4 linked regions of the Caenorhabditis elegans genome follow. The main gene of each other region encodes a partner of the protein of the gene in region 2 in a complex. Each region holds a gene or a part of one and is shown on either strand. Other genes may lie near its edges. The genes, in order: cdc-73, ctr-9, leo-1 and pafo-1.

Region 1 (7,079 bases), on a different chromosome or scaffold from region 2:
CTAATTTTCACCTAATTTTTTGGTATATTTCTAATACTTGTGCTATACCTCTAATTTTTTTCTCACTTTCTGCTTTCTGAATCGCACTACTCCCCGAACTCTTTTGAAGAATTTTGACAAATGAATTTAACTTGGGAATTCAAAGTGTCTAGTTTTGAGCCAGTAATCATGAAAAAAAAAAAAGCCGCGAAGCGACCGCTCCGCGTGGCCAATGGAGCAATATTTCGAAAATCCTAGAAGGCAATTTTGGCCAAAAAACGAAACAATGTTTAACTGGAAAATTTGAATTTTTCTCCAAAATATTACCTTGAAAATTCACGAATTAAAAAATTTGTTGCCGCGACGCGACCGCGCCGCCTGGCTGACGAAAACTGACGAAAATTGGGCAATTTTCCGCTTGAAAATCGAATTTTCTCCACTCCAAAAATGACGATTTCGCCACGTGGAAAATGATTTTTTCGCTAAAAATTTGAATTTTCGATTAAAAATTGTTTGAAGAAAAATGGCATTTTTAATAAAATCAAAAGTGATGAATAAATAAATTTGCAAAAAATGAAGAAAAAAAGAAAATTTCCGAGAATTTTCAGAGTCCAAGACGGGCGGTGAGATGTGGCTTGTTCTTGCGTACAAAATTCTCGATTGTCTCCCAAACTTGACTGAATCGAGCCTTATCCATGTGCCGTTTCGTCGCCGAGACTGGAATCTTGTGTACATTCCACTGCATCACTTGAGCCACCGGCTTATCCTGGTCGACGTGGAAATGGAATGCAGGAATGTGGGTGAAGATGTCCGTCGGATTTCCATTCCATTTCCAGCCTTTGAATTGCCACGCGACACCCATTACGAAGACGGCGATCACACGATCCCAATCATCATTGGCAAGCTTCTCGGCATTGTCGATTACGCGGATATTGTCTGAATCAATTTCAAATTTTAGGTTAAAATGGAGTTTTTGTTTTTTTTTCGAATTTTTAGCTTAAAATCGGTTAAAAATCCCAAAAAATACCATTTTTGCAGCGAATATTGCCTGAAACGTCTAGTTTTTTCGAAATGTTTGGTTAAAATTGAGTATTTTCGAAAGGTTAGGTGAAGATTTCAGTTTTTTTCTCGAAATTTCAGGGTTTTACGCTTTTTGCTCAAATTTCCAAACAAATTTTGAAAAATTGCGTATTTTTCCAATTTTTTAGCTTAAAATTATTTTAAATCACTTTAAAAAGGACTTTTTCGAGAAAAATCGAATTTTCAAGTCTATTTTCAAGTTTTGTGTAATTTGTCGTAAATTTCGGTGTTTTGGGTTACTGTAGTCTGTGGTCGCACAGATATGGGGCTACAGTACCCAAAATCGTCTCATTTTTCAAGTTTTTAAGTCAACATTTTCCATTTTTGCGCAAAAACCGGTGGATTTTACGATTTTCATTATTTTTGGGTTAAAATATTCGAATTTTCGCGTAAACAATCGTAAATTTCAGGCAAAACGCAAGTTTTCGAGAAGGATTTGACCATTTTCAGAATTTTGTCGTAAATTCAGATGTGTTGGGTTACTGTAGTCGGTGATTGCACAGAAATGGGGCTACAGTACTCAAAACCGTCATTTTTCGGGGTTTTTTTCGTCGAAATGTTTAATTTTCAGCATTTTTGGCTCAAGAATTTCAAATTTTTCCAATAAATTCAGATTTTCAAGCACAAATCTTAGTTTTTCTCATTTTTTGGGTCAAAATTTCCAAATTTTCGCGTGAAAAATCGCATTTCCAGCCAAAAAAACGCACAAGTAACACCATTTTTCTGCCGTTGAATAGCCAAATCGACAGGCTTCTTATTCGTCTCTTTTCGTCGCTGATCAACAGGAACATAGCTGAAATTCTGCAGAATATCTCGAACATTGTACAAATTTATCATCGTATTCATTGCCGACGGAACGATGATGATCGGGGAGCGAGACGTCCGTTTTGAGCCATTTTGAGCTGCTGATGAGCCTGATGACGTGGCAGTTGATGACGTCAGAAGCTGGATGGGCTTGGCGAGTGGAGGACGGCCTGGGGGAGCGTCGGGTGCTTCTGGAAAATTGAAAATTTTGTGAAAAATTGGCGTTTTTTACATTTTTTAGTAGAAATTTCAGAAAAAAAACCCAGATTTTAGGTCAAATTTTATGAATTCTGTGCAATTTGTCGTCAAATCCGACGTTTTGGGTTACTGTAGTCGGTGTTTGCACAGAGATAGAGCTACAGTACCCAAAATCGTCATTTTTCATGAAATTCTCCATTTTGAAGCAAAATTTCTGAATTTTTGTGTTAAAAATCACATTTTCCGGCACAAATTGGTTTTTCACAGGTTTTTAGTGAAAATTTCATAAATTTTCCGAATTTTCAGCTTTCCAGATCAACTTTAATGAAAAAAAAAAGCATTTTTTACGAGTTTTTTCAGTCAAAATTGGTGAGAATATTACAAAAACCCGGATTTTAAGTCAATTTATGAAGTTTTCCAATTTTGTTTCGAAATGTGGGAATTTTTCGGTGTTTTTCGAATTTAGGGTCAAATTTTATAAAATTTCTGATTTTTTTGAATTTAAAATTGCAATTTCTCGGATTTTACGAACTTTGTACCGCATGATGTCCCTGCTTGATACTGCTGAAATTACTTCCAATAAAAGAGCCTTCCGTTTGAATTTCCTTGGTTTTTTCCTGAAAAAATTGAATTTTAGTAGATTTTTGGACATAATTTCACTGAAATTCGAATCTTTTCTCAATTTTTCATTTATTTGGATCAAAATTTTCGAATTTTTGCGTGAAAAATCGCATTTTTACGTCAGTTTTTGAGTTTTGTGCAATTTGTCGTGAATTCCAGTGTTTTGGGTTACTGTAGTTGTTGTTTGCACAGAAACGGGGCTACAGTATCCGAATTCGTCATTTTTAGCGGGTTTTTGGTGAAAATGTTGAATTTTTAGGAAAAAATTGCCGGTTTTCACGAATTTCATAATTTTTGGATCAAATTTTCCGAATTTTTGCGTGAAAAATAGCAGAAAGATCGATTTTTCACCAATTTTTCTCAAATTTTCACATAGTTTGGGGAGGGGGCTCCCTTACATGAGCAAAAGCTTCCTGAGCATATCTAGAATAACCGGAACGTTGCTGTTGTCCACCAGCGGCTCCAGACTGATCTTTCGAGAGATTCGTAGCATGAACAGCCGCCACTTTTTCCTTTTTCTCGTTTAAATCCCATTGCCGTTGGGCTGAAGTGATAATATCGAGCACATTTGACAAATCTCGAGCTCCCAACATGACATTTTCACGGGTTTTGTGGATTCGAGTCTTCGGAAGTGAGGCTGACGTCAGTGTGGATAGGGATTCACTGAAAAATTGAAATTTCTTGATCAGAAAATCAGGTTTTTGAGGAAATGTTGTCCTAGAAAATCGGGGTTTTCGGATTTTTTTTGCATAAAAATTCTATATTTTTCAGGCTTTTTTTAAAAGAAAAATTGGCCGATTTTTGGAAACTTTTCGGTGAAAATTTAGAAAATTACGAGATTTTCAAACTAAAAATCGACTTTTCGTAGTTTTTTGAACCAAAAAATGAGAAATTCGGAGTTTTCTAAGAATTTTCGAGTTAAACAAGTTTTTAAGAAAATTTTGACCTAGAAAATCGAGATTTTCCGTTTTTTGCAATGAATTTTCACAATTTTTTCAGAAATTTTAACGAAAATACCCAGAAAAATGTCTATTTTGAGTACTGTAGCCCCATTTCTGTGCAAACACCGACTACAGTAACCCAAAACACCGGAATTCACGACAAATTGCACAAAAATCGGGTTTTTGGAGAAAATTGGCTCTGTTCTATGAAAATGGGATAAATTTAAGATTTTTTGAGTTGAAAATCACTTTTTTCTGGTAGAATTTCGGTTTTTTTAGGTGATTTGCGTAGTTTTTTATATGAAAATCCGAATTTTAGTAGGGAATTTTGAAAAAAAAAAATTGAATTTCATATTTTTTCCCAGTTAAAATTGTTTTAAATCGAAAATTGGCTTTTTACTGTTGTTTTTCGGTTTTCTCGGGTAAAAACTACGTTTTCAACGTAATTTTCCCAATTTTTCAACCGAAAACTGAGAAATTCGCAATTTCGTGAAATTTTCGGGTTTTCAGGCTAAAATCTGCATTTTTGCATCATTTTTCAGCATAAATTTGGCCTTTTTAGCCCATTTTCCTAATTTTTTGCCGTACTCAATGGTGACTATTCCTTTTTCTCGATGACTTTGTCGTTTTCTTCTCATTTCAGCAATTCTATCCTTTGTCAGATTGTCATTTAGTGCACGAATTTCGACTTCTTTCTTTGCAGCGGATACCGCGGATTCCTGGGGCTCATCTGGGAAAAAAATGGAGTTAATTTTGAGAAAAATCGGGATTTTTGAGCAAATTTCTGCTAAAAATCATGATTTTTAGCTTAGAAACGGTTATTTTTAAGGTAGTTACAGGCTTTTTGGCTTAAAATGAGCTATTTTATACTTTTTTAAGCTTAAAATCGGATTTTTATTCAAATGTTCACCTAAAATTGTTTTTGAGCTAAAAACAATAATTTTTAACTTAAAAACAGTTTTTTCTTTCGGTTTTTAGCTCAAAATTGGTGTTTTCTTCAGATTTTCAGCTTAAACTACGTTTTTTCCAGTTTTTTGGCTTAAATTAACTATTTTGTAGTTTTTTAGTCCACAATTGGATTTTTGGGGGTTTAAATGGGGCTTTTAGCGTGAAAGTAGGTTTTTATTAAGCATTTAGCCTAAAATTTGGATTTTAGCGTAGAATTCGTCGGTTTTTAGCTTTAAAAATCGTTATTTTCAGCTAAAACCTTTTAAAAATCGATTTTCAAGTCATATCTTGTCTAAAAATCCTTATTTTTAGCTTAAAAACGATAATTTTTAAGGTTTTTAGCTCGAAATTAGTTTTTTTTTCAGATTTTTGTTTAAAATAACCCGAAGTGCTCGTGTCCATTGGCTCGCCGGCGGCTTCACCGTCTAAACGTGGCTTTTTTGCTTCTGGCTCCGAGGAATGGAGCAATTGGCGAAGCGAAAGCGGATTTACTTGGTTCATCAGCGCCGGAAAGTCTGTGCGGTCACCCTGGAGGTACTCTGTCACATTTTTTCTGAAAAATTACACGTGTTTTCGGCTAAAAATCGATATTTTCTACCTATCAATACGTGTAACGGCTCGAACACCGGCGGCGGCCGCTTCTTTCACATAAACTCCGTGATTTTCGTGTGAGTACTTGAGAAATACGACCAGTGACTCCAAAGAGTAGAATTCATCGCTTTTTCCGTAGATTTGGAGGCTAGTCTCCGTGTCTTTCTTATAAGCGTAGTCGCCGAACGCCACATACGAGATTCCGCTCTGAAAATGAGAAAAATGATTGGAAAATCGACAAAAATCGTTAAAACACTTACCACGGTGACTTCTCGCAGCGGAAACTCTTCTGGCCTCTGCACATGCTTTTGGAGAGCTTCCAATGGGTCCATTCTGCTGAAAAAATGCAGAAAATTAGACGGAAAATCGATGAAAAATGAAGGAAAACGCGGCGAAATAAATTATTTTTCAAATTAAAAAATCTGGAAGAGAACAGTGAGAGAGCGGGATTTCTAGGCCGCGGCCACGAGAAAAGAGCGCGAGTTTGAAATTGAATATCTACAATTTTGAGATATCTGCCTATTTTTAGGCTTAAAAGTAGCAAATTTCGTGGAGATTTTTTCAACTAGTCAAATTGAAGAAAGAAACTTATTGAAGCAATATGTATTAACCATGAAAGTGTAAAAAAGTTACGAAAATGTTGGGAAATGCACAAAAAGGTGAGGAAAATGAAAATTTAGTCGTGTTTGTCACTTTATTTCTTGATTAAAGTTGTGATTAGCAGCAAAATGTTCGATAAACAATTACGGAAAATTTGAATCTTGCTATTTCTGTGGTACTGTAGCTCGAATTCTGTGCAAACACCGATCACAGTAGCCCAAGACCCGAAGAACTCGGGGGATGTCCAACTGGGGGGATTACCAACTCGGGGGATTGGCCCCGCCCACAGAACCGTGGCTTGCAATACGCCCATTTCTGCAACTGCCGCACGGTTTTAAAATTATTTTTTCTTGTTAATTCTCGCTCTATTGAGAAAAATACAGTTTTAAAACCGTGCGGCAGTTGCAGAAATGGGCGTATTGCAAGCCACGGTTCTGTCGAGTTGGTAATCCCCCCAATTGGACATCCACCGAGTTCTTCGGGTCTCTAGCCCAATACACTAGAATCGACCATAAATTGCACAAAAATCGTGAAAATGAACAATATTTCAAAAATTTCAGCACAAATTATATGCTTATCTTTGAAAATTCCACGTTTGCCCTTATTTTCGAGGTTTTTCTGCAACTTGTCGTCAAATTCTACGCCTTGGGTTACTGTAGTCGGTGTTTGCACAGAAATGGAGATACCGTACCCGATGGCAGCGTTTTTCAGCGTTTTATGTGAAAATTCTTGATTTTCATGCAAGTTTCCCAGAAAATAAAAAAAATCAATAAATCAATCATTTATTTTCGGCCGAGAGGTTCAACGAGTTCAAAGTACGTGTCGAATCCGATTTCGGTGAGCCACTTCTCTGCTGATCGCCGGCCGACACCAAATCCCGACAATATGCCATATAGAACAGTATTTGGCGTAAAATCGATATTCCGTAGTGAGCCAGATTGCCGAAAATGGTCGGCGATGGAATTACACGATGCGTCGTGAATTTCACGGCGGCCATCTCTTTTCGAGCCGCTTGCCAGCGTTCATACATCGGTTGTATCTGGAATTATTGATCTTTTCAGAGGGGACGGCGGCGGGGCCGAAACCGCGACGCGACCGCAGCGCATCAATTATTGATTTTTGAACGTGTACCGCAACGCGACCGCGGCGCATGGAAAATCGATATTTCTAGCGAAAACCGCCCAGCAACCGCAACGCGTTAAGCATAGATTTTTTGAACTGAAGCAGTGGCGCGACCGCAACGGATCAAATATCGATTTTCAGACCAAAACCGCGGCACGACCGCACCGCCACCCCAATAACTTACACCGTTGATAA
Region 2 (7,786 bases):
ATAATCTAATAAAATGGTAAAAATTTCCTACTTTAAAATAAGTGGTGGCTCGCAGAACTGGAATGGCTCAGCTGGATATTGATTTCCAACGGCTGCGATCTCATCTTGATAGTTTTGTTGAAGACCTTTGAACATCTGGGTGAGCACTTCTGCAATGGTTTCCATAACCTGAAAAACGAAATTTTATTAAAATGTTAGTCTATAATTACAAACCTCGTGATAATGGAAGTTGAAGGCCATTTCCAAGTCAAGTCCAACGAACTCGGTCATATGACGATGGGTGTTAGAATCTTCAGCACGGAATACTGGACCAATAGTGTAGACCTTTTCAAAATCTCCGGCAATAGCCATTTGCTTATAGAGTTGTGGAGATTGAGCCAAGTAGGCGGATCCTTTGAAATAGGAAACTTCGAAAACATTGGCTCCACCCTCACTTGGCGCAGAGATAATTTTTGGAGCCATGATCTCCACGAATCCTCTAACATCGAGAATGTTTCTGAACTGATTACAAATTCCGGCTTGAATTCTGAAGATAGCATGAGAGGTTGGCGTACGAAGATCGATGACACGGTTGTCAAGTCTTGTATCGAGATTAACAACAGCCAATTGATTCTCCTGCTCGCTGGCTTTCTCTTCGTCAGTTGGTGCTCTGCGTGATGCATCCTCAATTTGGAGCGGAAGCTTTGGAGCAGAAGTTGAAACGACAAATACTTGTTGAGCAAGTAGTTCGACATCCTTTTGTGTGCAAGATTCAATTGGATTGTCAACCTTGTTGATAGTAGCATAAACGTCAACAATAGACTCCTTTGAGATAGAAGAAACAAACTTCAACATTTGCTTGCTAATCTTTTCGTTCATAAACATTGCTACTTGAACGGTGTAGACTCCCTGACGGAGAACGAGGAAGCAATTCTTTCCCTTCGATCGAGTAGTGTGAATGCGCCCACGGACCCAAACCTACAAAAATGTGAATAAGATGAGCATATCCTCTGTTAAAACTCACGTCTTTTGTTGCGTTGGAAACGTTGATCTCCTTGACTTTCAGAAAGTTCAACACCTTCTTTTCCTTAGAGTTAACAAGCCCATATGATCCATAAAAGTCTTTGGATGCGTCTTCTTGGTCCATAGCGGCAGCCTGTTGTTGGTTTCCTCCTTTCTGAATTTATATTGCTTAGTTGCGAAATATTTCAAAATAGCATTTGAGGTTATAGAAAATTATTTACTTTAAAAATAAATAGCTCAACAGAATTTTCAATAACTCTATAAATTTAGACTAAACCCTATTTTAACGAGCATAGTTAACAAAATCTCACCTCTCCAGCTTTCTCATCTTTCTTAGCTTTTCTAGCAAGCTTATTGAGCTCCTTCTTGGAGAGTTTTGGTTGTTCACCTTCGGCAGCATCAGCCATTATCACCTGAAACAAATTAGCATCTATAAAACCAATGAAAAATTAAATTTTAGCTTGAAAATAAGGAATTTGTTTACAATTTGGGCTGAAAATGATGAAGTGTGTATGCGCGTCAGTTCTGATGTTTGTGCTCTCTGCGTACAATGCGTTACACTTCACGCGCATCGCGCCTCGTTCGAAAAGATATTTTTTGCATCCTGTTTTTCTCAATTTCTTCTTGAATTTCAAAGTTAAACGTTATTTAATCTTTATATTTTATTCATTTGCTTATTCTTTTTGTAAGAATTAAAGTGAGTTTATCATAAATCCATGATTTATTCTGCATCAGCGCTTGGAAAGTCTACTACCACGTTTAATCTTTAAAATTCCCAATCTTGGGTACTATTACTTGAATATTTGTCAAGAAAGATCTAATTTGTGTTTTTTACAGGTCAGAAAGTCCAAGGAGATGGACGAAAGTATTGATGATGTGCAAGAGACCAGAACAATCGCTATTCCATTGAAAGACAGTCACGAAGATGTAAGTTTTTGTTTCAAAAGTGTTCATAATTTCAAAAATCGATCGTTGTTGTTTCTTAGTGAGGAAATTTGGGAATATTGATTCATCATGTCGGTAGGACTTTCAAATTTCGAATTTATTTCAGCCAACCGACTTGATTTATCGATATTTTTGAATTTCAGGGTACGCACTTAAAACGTCTCCGCCGTTTCTCAATCGAAGTCTGGAATTTAATGCAAAACTGGGCGACAGCTTCTGAAAAATCAGTCCAATATTTGGAATCATTAGTTAATTCACGTCTGAAACTGCTATATTCGCGAGAAGTTGATGTAGAGGAGTCTGCAAAACTAACAAAAGATCAATCTGATCGTGTTCTCAATGAGATTGTTGTTATGAATTCAAAACTGAATCAAACTATGAGTGATTTTGAGAAAGTTATTGGAAAATTCGAAGTTGCACAAGGACGAATGTCAGCTTGGAAGCAATTGACCGAAAAAAGTCAAAATATTGAAGAAAAGTACATTGTGGAGACCCTTGACGAGAATTTGCCGTTAATAATTACAATGCTTAAGAAAGAATTGAAAGTGAAGCAAGACGTGCTCTTCGATTTCGCTCAAAATGACAGCCGGGACGTATTTACTCTTGTCCTTCTCACATTTAAACATGAACCATTTGTTGATGTCGCCCTTCTTTCCAAATTATTCGCATTAGTGGCCTCCGAAGCACAATGATCGATTTTTATTAAATATTATATTGTTTAAAAAAAACGTTTTTTATGTTTGTTCGTGAAATAAAATCTTGAAAAATTAATTTTCTGAATCAAATAATGAAAAACTTATTCAGGAAGTAATTGAAATCAACTGCTCCGAGCTCCCCGATGGCGAAGAAGTCCTTCAAATTTTGGAAGCAGAAGAAGCAAAGTTATCGTATTGGATTGAAGTTGCTCTCGAATATTACAGACAAGATCGTGTTGATCTATTCATGATGATTCTAGAATCTGCTGGATCTCGTGCTGGATTGGAGTATGAAGGAGTAAAACAGGATCAAATGAGAGCATTGGATATACTTGCTGCCTACTGGATGACTCAAGGTTACAGAGAGAAGGCCAAGGACAAGAAAAGTGATTTCTTCTCGAAAGCTACAGTTCTTTTCAACACAGCCGATAAAATTGCGATGTATGAATGGTCTCACTTGACAGTTCGTGCTTGGTTTTATCTTTTTGAACGAGATAAAAGTACAAACAAGTATGAACTTGCTGATCAACAATTCAATTATGTCGTTAAAACCAATCCGAAGAATGTGCTCCCGTTGATTGGAAAAGCTGTAATCGCATTCAATAAAAAGGATTATAAAACTGCAATCTATTACTTTCGAAAAGCAATTCGACAATGTCGTCACACAATCGCAGATCTTCGAGTCGGAATCGGTCACTGCTTCGCTAAAATGGGAATGATGGACAAAGCGAAAACGGCATTCGAAAGAGCCATGGAAATTGAACCATATAATGTATCGGCCATGTGTGGTTTGGGAATTATTCTGTTGAACACGTACGACCATGACAGCCTCAAACACGCAGTCAGTTTGTTTGGAAGATCTTATAATTTACAAACTGATCATCCAGTTGCTCTTATTCATCTTGCTAATCATTTCTTTTTCAAAAAAGAAATTGAGCGTGCATGGACACTTGCCTGGCATGCAGCAACGTATAATGATTGTGATTCGATAAAAGCTGAAGCTTTCTATCAAATGGGAAGATGCAGGCATGCACAAGGGCAATTTGACGGTGCTTATAAGGTTTGTTTTTGAGTTTTCAAATCATAAACTAAAAATATAAAATTAAAAACTCGAAAGAAACCCCGGAATTTTGTCATTGAATCCTGAAAGCAATCGAAAAATCAAATGATTTTTATGTTAAAAAAAGCTTCAGAAAAAATGCACGGAAATATTCTAGAATTTTGAAATTTTCTTATTTCGTGTCTCGAAAGACATTGCTCTAAATTCTCAAAAAGTCCTTTTTTTTTAAGTTTCATATTTTTCCAATTTACGAAAGCTTCGACTGAAAATATTCAAAAATCTACCTAAAATTTTTGTGTTTTGGCCATTTTGGAATATTATACGTGTAAAATCCTACTTTCAGTACTACTACCAAGCTCGACAAGCAAACAATGGAGAGCACACCCTTGCTCACTATGGACTTGGTCAAATGTACATTCATCGAAATGAAATTGAAGAAGCAATCAAATGCTTCGATACTGTTCATAAACGATTGCCAAACAATACAGACACGATGAAAATTCTTGGAAGTCTATATGCTCATGTTCAGCTAAACGATCCGGCACAAACAGCAGAAGCACGGCAAAAGGGACGGGATGTTCTTGGAAAATATCTGGCAGTTGAAAATGATGACTATGAAGCATGCATCGACTTGGCTCAACTTCTCGAAGCAACAGATCCAAAACGATCTCTGGAATTGTATGAAAATGCAATCGACTTGCTTGTAACAAATGAGAGTATTCAACCACAACCCGAAATGCTCAACAACGTCGGTGCTTTGTATATGTCAATGAAGCAATATGAAAAAGCTGAACATCACTTCAAAAGAGCTAAAGAACGTCTTGAAGAACAATTGAATACTGATGAAGGGTCTCTACTTTTAGAACGTAGAAGTGCTCCTGAAAAATCGCACCTTCTCACAATTCGTTACAATTTGGCTCTGTGCTTGGAGCATCTTTGTCGTACTGTTGAAGCCGAACAAATGTACAAGGATATTGTGAAAGAATGTCCTGGATATATTGATGGATATCTTCGTCTTGGATGTATCACTCGTGATCGTCATCAAGTCTATGAATCGTCTTTGTGGTTGAAACAAGGCGTTCAATTTGATCAAGCATCACCAATTGTTTGGACTCTTATTGGAAATCTTCATTTTGCAAAGAATGAATGGATGCCTGCCCAGAAGAAGTTTGAATTCATTTTGTCGAAGATTTTCAACAACAAAATTCCTGATCCATACTCGCTGGTAGCTCTTGGTAATGTGTGGTTCGAGCAGCTTCTCAATCCATCAAGGAAAAAGGAAGATGTAGGTTTTTTATTGCTTTATCACTTGCATTCTGAAATTTATTCATATTAAATTTTATAATCGATACCATTTTGTACTTAACTATTAAAGAATGAACAATATATTTAATTTTTATTTTCAAACAATTTAATAATATTTTGTTTCAGGAGAAAAAGTACATTGACCGAGCTCTCCAAATGTATCAAAAAGCATTGAAACTTCAACCAAAAAACATGTATGCTGCAAATGGAATCGGATGTGTGCTTGCTTATAAAAGAAACTGGAATGATGCTCGAGATGTTTTCAGTCAAGTTCGCGAGTCTACCAGTGAATTCTACGATGTCTGGCTCAATATAGCTCACGTTTGCATGGAACGAGAGCAATGGATGGCTGCTGTTCAGATGTATTCGTCTGCGATGAAAAAATTTCGAAAGGAGAATGACTCGACATTGCAACACTATCTTGCAAAGGCCTATTACCGAGCAAATATGTTGAATGAAGCCAAGGAAGCACTTGAATGTGCAATGCTTGATCAATTGGATAATACCCAATTGAAATTTAACTATGCTATTGTATTGAAGAAATCTGCAAAAGAAGTACTTCGAGGTCACAAAATGACATCAGAACAAGTGACTGCGGCTATAGATGATCTCAAATTCGCCGACAAAATTTTCCAATACATCTCTAAAAATGATGATCGTCAATCGAGCCATACTGGAATGCGAATATCGAGAACAATCTGCGCAGAAGAAGCTAAAAATTGCAAGGATTTGTTAACTCAAGCAAAGCATAAATTAGCAGCTGCACAGACTCAAGATGAAGAAGAACGTCGTCTTATGGAGAAGCAAGAGAAAGAGAAGATAGCATTGCAGAACAAGATGATTGAGGAAGCTCGTGCTAAGGAAGAAGCTGAAAAACAGAAGCTCGAAGATATGAAGAATCTTAGATTATCATTCATAGAAATGACAAAAGATGTTCTCAGACTTCCAGAAATTGTCGAAGAAAAGAGAAGAGGAGGTGGTGGACGGAAACGACGAAATGATGATGGTGATGAGTTTGTTAATGATAGTTCTGATGCTGGAAATTATGATGGAGAGGAAGGAGGTGAAGATGGTGAACGAAGAGAACGAAGGAAGAAGGATAAGGCAGCAAAGAAGGCATCCAGGAAGAAGAGAGAACGTAGAGATAGTGGTGGACCTGATTCGAACAGAAGAGATGAGAAAAAGAGAAAGAGGAAGGAAGAGAGGGATCGAAAACTACAGGAGAAGCTCTCAGCAAAACAATCAGCAAAGATAAAATCTCGTGCATTCTTATCTTCATCGGAATCTTCTGATGATGACAAACCAAAGCCTGCTGCTGATTCATCGGATGATGAGGTTGATCCGCGGCCGCCAGTTGATGAGTTTGGTTAGTTTATTGATTTCTGATTTTCAAAAAATTCCATTTTTTGCAGATAGTCCAACCCGAACTGACAGTGATAGTGATCGTGAGACAACTACAAAAAAGAAAAAGAAGAAGGCTGTTGTGGATTCTGATGAAGGATCAGTCTCCGGATCTGGCTCTGGATCGGATAATGATGATAAGCCAATTATTGGAGGTTCTGATGGTAATCATAGATTTGAAAAAAAAAACGACAACCGAGGATGTCGCCTTCTGAAAATACCTGATTATTTCAAATATCTCAAAATCGAAAAAAATACTAATATTTTTATTTTGAAAAATATTAATCAAAAAACGAAAATTTTTCGATTTTTAGTTTTATTCAGTTTTTATTCAGTGATAATCGGAAAAAACTTCAAACAATGTTTGGAACATTTGAAAATATTAAATTTTAAACATTTTTTCGAAATACCTGAAATCGCAAAAAAAAAAGAAAAAAAAACACTTACAAATTTTTTAAAGGAAAATTACAAACCATTTCAAAATTGTACTAAAATTTAGACTATTATCGCACAAATGAAATTTTTTCAAATTTTCGGAAAATCGTATACAAAATGTTGAAATTTTCAGATGATGATGATGATAAACCTGCTGGTGGAAACTCCAGGGACAGTGATGGAAGTGATGCTCCGAAAAAGAAGGTTATCGAGAGCGACAGCGACTGAACCAATTTTTTTTAAATTTAAAGTTTTTATTTATTTTTGTTGTTCACAAATGTTTTATTTGTACTCTTTGTAAATCTAGCATCTTGTGCTCGTTCTCACAATACATTCTCCCGTTTTTAATCACCGAGTCCAAGACTTTCAATCTTTGACATGAATTCATTTATCAAACAAATAATGGTACCTGTGAGTTCGTTTTCGTTAGTCGCAGAGTTTTCGATTACAATTTGAGACCAGTTTTCGTGAGGAGCGAGGGCATTTAGGACTAGAAGGAGGGAGCAAAGAAAGCATGAAACAATAGGACGAATTAAAGAATACGAGATAGCAAGAAATATAAAATAATTGGAAGATAAAATGTAGAATAATAATAAGAAGAAGATCCAATTGGTTGAGATTGTGTAACTGGAGGAAGGGATGCTGTCGTTGTTTCCAAAATACGTTCTTCCACAATTCCTGAATAATTTAACGTTTATTGGGGTTTTGAAGATAAGTGAAGCATATTACACAACAATTGCAATTTTTGACGCAAAAATACGGTACCCGGTCTCGACACGACAAAGTTTTGTCAAATACAAACTGGGGTCTTCAAAAAGCACTGTAATTTGAAATTTTCGTTGTTGTGAGTTTTTCTCACGATTTGGTTAAATTTACGTTTTTTTTTAAATTTAAGCTTCCATAATGGAGTTATTCAAGTAGTGTCGGAAAGTTGAAAAGTGTA
Region 3 (3,904 bases), on a different chromosome or scaffold from region 2:
TCAAATCCATTTTAATATTCAATGAATACTTTTTTCAATTTCAATTTTTTTAAATTTTAAATCTTTCGGACATAGTGGTTCCGTGTATATTATAATATGATTGATTCAAAGATTTGTTGTTAGATGTAAAAATTTATTAGTCAGTTTCTTTATCAAACGTGAAAAATCATTTCCTACATTTTCCACAAAGATGTTTAAAATACTCTGGAATCAAAAGTCAAAACCTATAGTTTTTCGAATTTTAATTTATGGAATCTTCTTTCAAATCATTATATTGATGTTTTTACTGCGATCGAGAAGCTCTGGAAATCAAGAAGAAGCTCAGTTGATATTAAATGTATCGATTTCCCCAAGAGCAATGGAAAACGATAAAACACGGAGGTTTGATTTTGAGAATTCTGAAATCGTAGATTATTTCAAGTTTCAGAATTTATGATACGACACTTGATGCCAATTCTTTGAGAAGCGAGGAAGACGTAGTGGATGTATGATTTTAAATATTACATACAATCTGATTGAAATTAAGAAATAAAAGCTCGGTTTTTCATAATATTGTGGATGTTTCATTATCTCGAAATATCGAAGACTAAAATAAATAAGGAAAGGAAAACATTTTCGAAATATTGTAAAGGGAGAAATATTGAATTCGCGAAATATAAAATTGTGAGGATCAAAATTGAAATAAATTTAGTCAGATTCTTCGTCACTGGTGACAATCTGTTTCTTTTGTTGTTGTTTTCTCTTTCGGTACTCTTCATCAGAATCGCTATCCGATCCGCTTTTCTTTGTGGTATCCGCATGATCGTCCTCACTTTCTGAGCTGGCACCTGAAATATATTATTGTAGTACAGTTTCTTTATTCTGGTAAAGTCCTAATCAAAATTAAATTGAACTTACCAATAATTGGTGCTTCCTTCTTCTTTCCTTTTCTGGATGACGTTGGCATATCTTCATCATCAGAATATTGTCCTGCATATCTCGGACCACGAACTTTAAAGTTATTCCGAACCATCTGAGTACGTCGGATGTGTGCACGAAGTGATTCTTCCTCCTTCCGGGCATTCTCACGCCGTGTAATTTCCGGATTCTGACCAACATCGTCCATGACTTTAACTTGAGCATTCTTCCTGCTTCGATCTGCCATATTGAGTGTGACTTTTCTGTGAGTTTGGGAATCAGTCGAGTGAGGACGGAAGGTCATACGATGTGTAAGAACAGCTTGAGCCGACTAAAAATGACATAAATTTTGATTAAAATAAAAACATTAACAATCAAAATACCATTAATGTTGGCTGCTTAACGTAAAGATGGGGAAGATTATTGGAATTCAGCGGCACCAATGAGACTTCGAAAATTTCGTTTCCGAGGTATAGAGACATTCTGAAATTAAGTCACGATATGGAAATTTTGCATCAATTGAAAACTAACGTTCCATCGTCCCATTTTACAATTTTTGCATTACTCTCTCGAATTTCTTTTCCATTTTCATCTTTGCGAACTCGCCAGCGAAGTGTATTTTCCACCTTAAAAATTGTATATTTGATGAGATGTATTTATAACACAGACATACTCTCAATTTGAGACGTGTTCGTCCTTCATCATCCAATTTCGCCTGCTCATCATCTTCGTCTTCCTCGTAATGTTGTGGATCAAATGGATGAGTGGCGACTGATAGAAAGTTTGGCATTCTGACAAAATGTGGTGGATCTGCAGCGTACTCCAAAGTAACACGACCTGTTACCATCTGGAAAATCAATGTTTTAATCACATTATTTCATTGAAAATGTTTACTTCAGTATCATGAACATGCTCCTTTGCTTTTTCATCTTCATCTATTTCATCTGGATTAGCCATCACAATTCCTTGCAAATCATTCAAACTTCCACGACTCTCCGCATCGGAATCTGACAATCGTGCTCTTGTATTTGATTCTTTCGGCTTTCCTTCTCTGTCGGAATCATCGTCGGAAGAGCCAGAGAGATCACCGAACAAACCACCACCAGCACCGGGGGAACTCTTTTCACCTCCTCCTCTCGGATGAATGTTATCGTCAGAAGAATCGGACAATTGTCGAGGAGCAGGACGAGAATCATCATCATCGTCGGACTCATTTAATATCGCTCTTTTCTTAGACGGTTCTTGTTTTTTTGGTGAATCTGGCGACGATCCACGAGAAGATGGAGTTGATCTGAATTGAATTATATTATTTTAGAAACACAATTACCATTTACTTACGATTTAACTGGTGTTCCTGGTGCAGAAGCGTCAGAATTACCCTCAGAAGATGACATCTGAATTGAAAATATTGCATACCTAAGTTCTTTGAATAGCGAAAGTAGCAAAACAAAGTAATAATTTGGGGTCGAATATACCGATAAAAATTGAATAATAAAAGTAGTTGTTGAAAATTCAGATTTTCTTATCCATAGGCAATAAGTTGAAAATGAATATTGGGGGATCTCTATTACAAATTATTAGCAAACAAAAAGAAAACAAGGATTATGAACAGTTATGAAACTAAATCTTGCAATTCGTAGTGAAGAACAAATATAATTATAGCGAGAACATCAAAAATAGCATCTACCGGAATTTTAATTGGAAAGGAGACACTGGGGAACGTAATAGAAATTAAATAACTAAATGAATCTTGATATGAACAATGAAAGTTTCTGGTGAAAAACGGCCCTAATTTTTCATAAACATTTTACGGAATTGATCATTTGAAAGTGGCTGAGACGTTGAAGTGCCTTCGGAAACATCCATTGCGTCCAGCCGAGCAGTGATTTGAGGAGTTTTGTTTGCTGAAAATGGATTTTTTTATGCTAAGCTGGGAACTAAAGATGATATACTTACTAATAGCTCTGGGAACCAATTGCAGTTTTGCAGCATGTCCTTTTCTAGGTCCATCTTCTTCCAAACTTGCTCCAATTGCTGCTGGTTTTCCATGCGATTTATCCTTTTTTACTGGTGGATTGGATAACGCTACCTCTAGTTCTCTTTCTCGAAGCATCAATTTATCACCAGAAGCAACACATTTTTGAGCACTTGCTTCTGTGTCAAAATCTACGAATGCGATTCCTTTTGGTTTTCCATCTTTATGAGTCACGCGTCGAACACTGGTTACTGTACCGAATTTCGAGAATAATGCCTGAAATGTATCGATTTAGAATATAAAATGATAGATAAGTATATATTACCTTTAACTCATCGTCGGTTGCCTGGAAGTGGACATTGCGAACGAAGACTTTCGATTTTTCAAGAGTGGTTGAGAATTTGAATCCAACCCGTTTTTCTGGATCGTTGGCGGAGATCTGAATTTTCAGAAATTAAAATTTCACAAATATTTATAAAGTAAAATTAAAACTTACAAACATTGGCCTTCCCTTCACAGGAACTCGATCTTTCAAGAGAGCTTGCTGTGCCTTCTGATCATTCTCCATTACAACATAGGCGAACCCTCTGTGCACAAGATCCGAATTCGCTTTTCTTGCGAATCGAATTGAAGCAACACCTTCAATGGCTTGTCGAATTTCGTCTTCCGTCGTAGTGAAATCGAGATTAGAAACAAAAATTGTGCGAGCATCTTCCGTTCCTGGAGCTGCTTTCTGAACTGCAAAGGAACCTGGAGCTGGTGTCGACGAAGCATTTGAAGAGGATACAGCTGATGAACTTTTCGCATTGGATGGTGGAAGTGGAGCTTTGAATCCTAAAATTTAATTCAAATTAACTTCTTTACTTTTAAAAATTATTTACCTCCGTCGTCTCCTTTCACTTTTTTTACAATTGGTTCACCTCCCGACGTTCTCTTCTGAATATGATCTTGCTTTGATTTAGGAGCTGGAGCTGGTTTCTCAGAAACTTTCTTTTGTGGTCGAATGGCTCGATGAGCAACCTGTGAATTCAC
Region 4 (4,167 bases), on a different chromosome or scaffold from region 2:
TGGAATTTTGAAATGAATTTCTTTTGGAATACAGTGCTTTTTTTACAACTTCTACGACTTTAAAGGCGCGCGCATTTTCGCGCAATGGTCTCGCCACGCGCATCCCTTTGATTTGTTGAGCGCGTGGCGAGACCAATGACGGGACCATTTTGTATAAATACGCGCGCCTTTAAAGTCGTAGAAGTGGAAAAAAAATGCACTGTAGTTTCGAAAATCTATTGCTACAGTAGTCATTTAAAGAATTACTGTAGTTTTCGCTACGGGATATATTCAATGTTTCGCAATACGCATTCCAATCAGAACGGTAGTTCGAATTTCCCCCAAAACTAAACGTCTTGCCCTCTGATCCTGTTGCTTCCGCATGACAAATCAAAGAATAGAACGTGGAGCACATAAGCGCAAGCAACAGACACCTACACAAACAGAACTTTGCGGGTGTTGGTGTTTCCGCTGTTGGTTTTTTCTTCAATTGTGAGTCAAATCATACTTGCACTTTTAGCGAAGATTCATGAAGATCAATCGAACAAATAGTTGAAATCGTTATCAAGTTTACTGAGAAAAACCAATTTGATTAGGTAAAATAAATAGAAAAACAATTTTAAAAATTTGAGATCAATCACTGTCGCTGTCAACAGTCGGTTCCTTTTTCCGTGGTGAATCGTCATCTGATGAAACGTCCGAAGAGCTATCAGATCGTGATTTCTGCGGCTTGTCGTCATCAGAATCACTGCTCTGATCTGAACTGTCTCCTGAAAAATTGCATGTTCGCGTGGAAAATAACACTTCAAAACTTAAATTTACTCACCACCTTCTTCTTTCTTCTCTTGAATCTTTTCCAGAATCTCTTGTTTTCTGGTCTTTGGCTGTTCGTATAACTCAGCCTCTCTTTTATTCATGTCTTTTTGTTCCAGTTCGGAAGGATTTCGGTATGTGAGTGTCAATTTGGATTTTCTGCTCAATGCCATTTTTGGTTTTCTTGTCATCTTGACATTACAGTCAACTTCGTTGTACTGGAAAACGTTATTACGATGATACATAATGAAGACGTCACGATCCCTTGGTGGCAAGTGTTCCATTTTAAATGTGTATTCACGGCTTAGCAAGAATTCGTACTTCATATCCTCATCAAATGGTCGTTCTAACTCAAGATCATCCATAAAACTCGTAAGACATCCAATCGTTGGAACAAAAACTGCTGCAAATTTTTGATCTTCGAATTCCATGGCTTTAATAACACTGCTCTCCCGTGCTTGTTGTCGTTCATCTTCTTCTTCGAATTCTGTTGTTATAGTGTCTCCATCAAATTGTACATGAGCAAAGAGGTGTTTCCAGTGATCGAAATCAGGGAAGACAAAGCTTTCTTCAACAGCTTTTACACCCTTCTTGGAGTAATGCTCCTTGACGGGTTTACGAACCTAAAATACGCAAAAGTAGATTTAAATCAAAAAAATATATTCTGGTACTTACATCTTCAAATGTCTTGTTAATGGCATCAATTTGACTCTGCTTGTCACGATACATATCTTCAACTTGTTGATTTTTCTTCAAGTTATAACCAAGCTTCGTCTCCTGTCTATCGGCTGTCACACCGAACCGATTGAATTCAGTTGAAATGTACTCGGTTTTTCTCATCCATGGAACAAGTTTAGAATGCTGTTGAGATCGTTTTGCAATCAATTTAGCGGCGCCATCATCTTCCAGTAAAATATTGTCTTTCTCATCAATTTCCTAAAAGTGAAACATTTCTATCTTTGAAACTGTATATTTCAGGAAAAAACCTACAGTTTCGATTGGATCTTCGTCGTATTTTTTTAGATCAATCAAATCGACATTCAAACCCATGTCGTCGTCACAAATGACTGCATGCTTGTAATCTCGATAAATGGCAGCAGGTTGGAATTCGACAAATCTAAATTCAGAGATATTGAACAATGTCAAACGTTTCAAAATTGGTGTACCTTCCCAGAGGAACAAATGGACAAGTCATAAACTTTGCATCAAATGGGACATCAGGAACAGTATTGGTAAATCGAGGTTTCAGCATGAAATCCACTTTTCGTCTGCAAAATGTTTTCAAAACTTTTCTAGCGATTCAAAACAATAATACTTACGGAGGTTCAATCCTTTTGGCATCTGAGGATTCTTGGGGCATTTTTTATAGTAATTTAGTTATAATATTAAGATACCAATCGGCAGAAACGGCTGCAAATCGAAAAAACTAGTCACCGAGGGAATTAAATTCAAACTCTCACACACGGGTTTTGCGCAAGCGCTCAATGCGCGTCAGCAGGGAACAATGGCGCATAACCAGTTTTGCGCGGGTGTTCAAAAAGTATTTTTTGTTTTGTGAATTTCCAGCGTTCTCGTCACGATAATATTTATTTTATGACAAAATGCCATCATTAACATGATAATATTGTAAAAGGGACAATAATGTAAATATAAAGGTGACAATGAATGGTCCAGCAATGTAGAGAGCCAATGCTCCTTTCTGGAAAATTATATAAATGTGGGGTTGTGAACTTTTAAAGCCTACATTATCATGATCATCGTGCATTCCGATACTTTCACGCTGAACAAAGCTAACAGTATTCTCCATTTCAGCATTTAGCTCTTCACTACTTCCAAAGAAAACATCCCACAGCCAAGATCCGAACATTTTTTCCGAATTCCTTTCACAGCAGAGTGTACCATAATAAACTCGATGCTGGTATGTATGAACACATCGTCCCACTTTTTTCTTGTCACATAACTTCATGAATGTTTCCTCGGTTAGATTGAATGGCTTGAGAATTTCCTTCGAAGCACAACCAGAGGCAAATAGAAATGCGTGTTGCTCATTTCGAACGATTTCAGTGAGCATAATTTGTTGAAAGCATGTCTTGAAACCGGAAGTGCAGTTTTTGTACATGAAAGTTCGAAGTTCTTTGTGTCGAGTTCGGGATAAAATTGGGCAGGATACCTTGAATGAAATAATATTTTTACAATTTTCTAGAAAGATCTTATTTTGAAATTGCTCATAACCTACAAAAACATAACAATAGCAAAACAAATTGCGCCTAGTTTTTTGTCTATCTTTTTTTGTCTATCGTTTCTCTTTCATTAAAAATATTTGAAAGAAAATTTCCCAGGGACAACTGGAAAAGCTCAGGAATAGAACCAAGGAAAGTCCTTTATAACATCTCCTGTGTAAACCTACATTCACATTTTCCCCGTTCGCAACCAACACTTGATTGAAGAGCAAAACTGTATTAACCAAAATCGAAATTATCATAGTTTTCTTCATTGTCTAATTCTTTGATCTCTTCTCAGAAATTCCGAAATAAACTAAAAACTGCAATAAACCAAACTAATTATTGTGGCAGTTCATCACGCTGTTTATTTTGCAGAACAGAAGAGAAATACTATTGATAAGAAATAATAATCATCATTCATTGATTTTCGATTTCTGTTAATTCAATTCTATGCTTAAATTCTAGTGAAAATGTCTCCAAAATCAGTTGTGGTAACCGGATCCAATCGAGGATTGGGATTTGGATTAGTTCAACAATTTCTGAAAGATCCAAATGTTCAGCATGTCATTGCGACTGCAAGAGATGTTGATAAGGCAACTGTAAGTTTTTTCGAGTTTATTTATACTTTATCCGTTGCTGAGATTATAGTTATTTGTATTAGGTTTGTGTTCCTAATATTTGTATATGGTAAAAATTTCCCAACAACATGTATTGGACTACGGCATTCTTAATTTCCAATTTTTCAGGCTCTCAAGGGAATTTGTGATCCACGACTTCACATTCTTCAACTCTCACTCGGATCCGATGAATCAATTGCAAATTTTGCTGAAAAAGTGTCTGAAATTGTTGGAGAATCTGGATTAACTCTTCTTATAAATAATGCAGCTGTGATGCTTCCATATGTAACAAAACAAAAACCTGATCGAAAAGTTGTTCTGGATTTGTTTGAGTCAAATACAATTGGTCCAATGATGCTTACACAAAGCCTTGTACCACTCATAATCAAAGCTTCGAAACGACAGGAAGGCGATACACTTTCCGTTTCTCGTGGTGCAATCATTAATATTGCATCCGAATTTCTTGGTTCAATTTCTGAAAATACCAGTGGTTCTGGTGAATATAAAGCAATGGCATATCGAATGACGAAGTGTGC

Evidence for each region.
Region 1: ctr-9 (region 2) and cdc-73 share a complex: the UniProt entries of both Caenorhabditis elegans proteins name them as parts of the PAF1 complex.
Region 3: ctr-9 (region 2) and leo-1 share a complex: the UniProt entries of both Caenorhabditis elegans proteins name them as parts of the PAF1 complex.
Region 4: ctr-9 (region 2) and pafo-1 share a complex: the UniProt entries of both Caenorhabditis elegans proteins name them as parts of the PAF1 complex.

Annotation. Positions count from the first base shown.
Region 1 is NC_003282.8:4,040,994-4,048,072, reverse strand, and holds cdc-73 (Cell division cycle protein 73), read right to left. Parts: upstream 5,499-7,079; 5' UTR 5,495-5,498; coding exon 5,423-5,494; intron 5,370-5,422; coding exon 5,170-5,369; intron 5,125-5,169; coding exon 4,955-5,124; intron 4,354-4,954; coding exon 4,212-4,353; intron 3,346-4,211; coding exon 3,081-3,345; intron 2,679-3,080; coding exon 2,594-2,678; intron 2,055-2,593; coding exon 1,767-2,054; intron 916-1,766; coding exon 584-915; 3' UTR 501-583; downstream 1-500. Other genes in the region: F35F11.2 (DUF4200 domain-containing protein), read right to left, coding at 6,541-6,801, 7,069-7,079. UniProt on the Caenorhabditis elegans protein: Component of the PAF1 complex which is a multifunctional complex involved in transcription initiation via genetic interactions with TATA-binding proteins, elongation and transcription-coupled histone modification.
Region 2 is NC_003281.10:9,489,801-9,497,586, forward strand, and holds ctr-9 (RNA polymerase-associated protein CTR9), read left to right. Parts: upstream 1-1,839; 5' UTR 1,840-1,857; coding exon 1,858-1,929; intron 1,930-2,090; coding exon of another isoform or gene 2,091-2,639; exon of another isoform or gene 2,640-2,718; intron 2,719-2,751; coding exon 2,752-3,702; intron 3,703-4,045; coding exon 4,046-4,987; intron 4,988-5,133; coding exon 5,134-6,373; intron 6,374-6,419; coding exon 6,420-6,572; intron 6,573-6,976; coding exon 6,977-7,071; 3' UTR 7,072-7,244; downstream 7,245-7,786. Other genes in the region: dars-1 (Aspartate--tRNA ligase, cytoplasmic), read right to left, coding at 32-168, 214-957, 1,004-1,156, 1,314-1,409; sod-4 (Superoxide dismutase [Cu-Zn]), read right to left, coding at 7,376-7,521. UniProt on the Caenorhabditis elegans protein: Component of the PAF1 complex which is a multifunctional complex involved in transcription initiation via genetic interactions with TATA-binding proteins, elongation and transcription-coupled histone modification.
Region 3 is NC_003282.8:11,327,079-11,330,982, forward strand, and holds leo-1 (RNA polymerase-associated protein LEO1), read right to left. Parts: upstream 2,292-3,904; coding exon 2,236-2,291; intron 2,189-2,235; coding exon 1,792-2,188; intron 1,745-1,791; coding exon 1,571-1,744; intron 1,524-1,570; coding exon 1,429-1,523; intron 1,381-1,428; coding exon 1,281-1,380; intron 1,229-1,280; coding exon 898-1,228; intron 828-897; coding exon 688-827; 3' UTR 543-687; downstream 1-542. Other genes in the region: B0035.21 (Kinesin motor domain-containing protein), read left to right, coding at 278-381, 428-491; sart-3 (Spliceosome associated factor 3, U4/U6 recycling protein), read right to left, coding at 2,686-2,801, 2,854-3,148, 3,198-3,311, 3,369-3,706, 3,754-3,904. UniProt on the Caenorhabditis elegans protein: Component of the PAF1 complex which is a multifunctional complex involved in transcription initiation via genetic interactions with TATA-binding proteins, elongation and transcription-coupled histone modification.
Region 4 is NC_003283.11:11,519,751-11,523,917, reverse strand, and holds pafo-1 (RNA polymerase II-associated factor 1 homolog), read right to left. Parts: upstream 2,216-4,167; 5' UTR 2,153-2,215; coding exon 2,112-2,152; intron 2,061-2,111; coding exon 1,959-2,060; intron 1,910-1,958; coding exon 1,783-1,909; intron 1,729-1,782; coding exon 1,468-1,728; intron 1,416-1,467; coding exon 806-1,415; intron 750-805; coding exon 613-749; 3' UTR 534-612; downstream 1-533. Other genes in the region: C55A6.11 (uncharacterized protein), read right to left, coding at 2,384-2,491, 2,537-2,962, 3,200-3,286; C55A6.7 (DeHydrogenases, Short chain), read left to right, coding at 3,485-3,613, 3,761-4,167. UniProt on the Caenorhabditis elegans protein: Component of the PAF1 complex which is a multifunctional complex involved in transcription initiation via genetic interactions with TATA-binding proteins, elongation and transcription-coupled histone modification.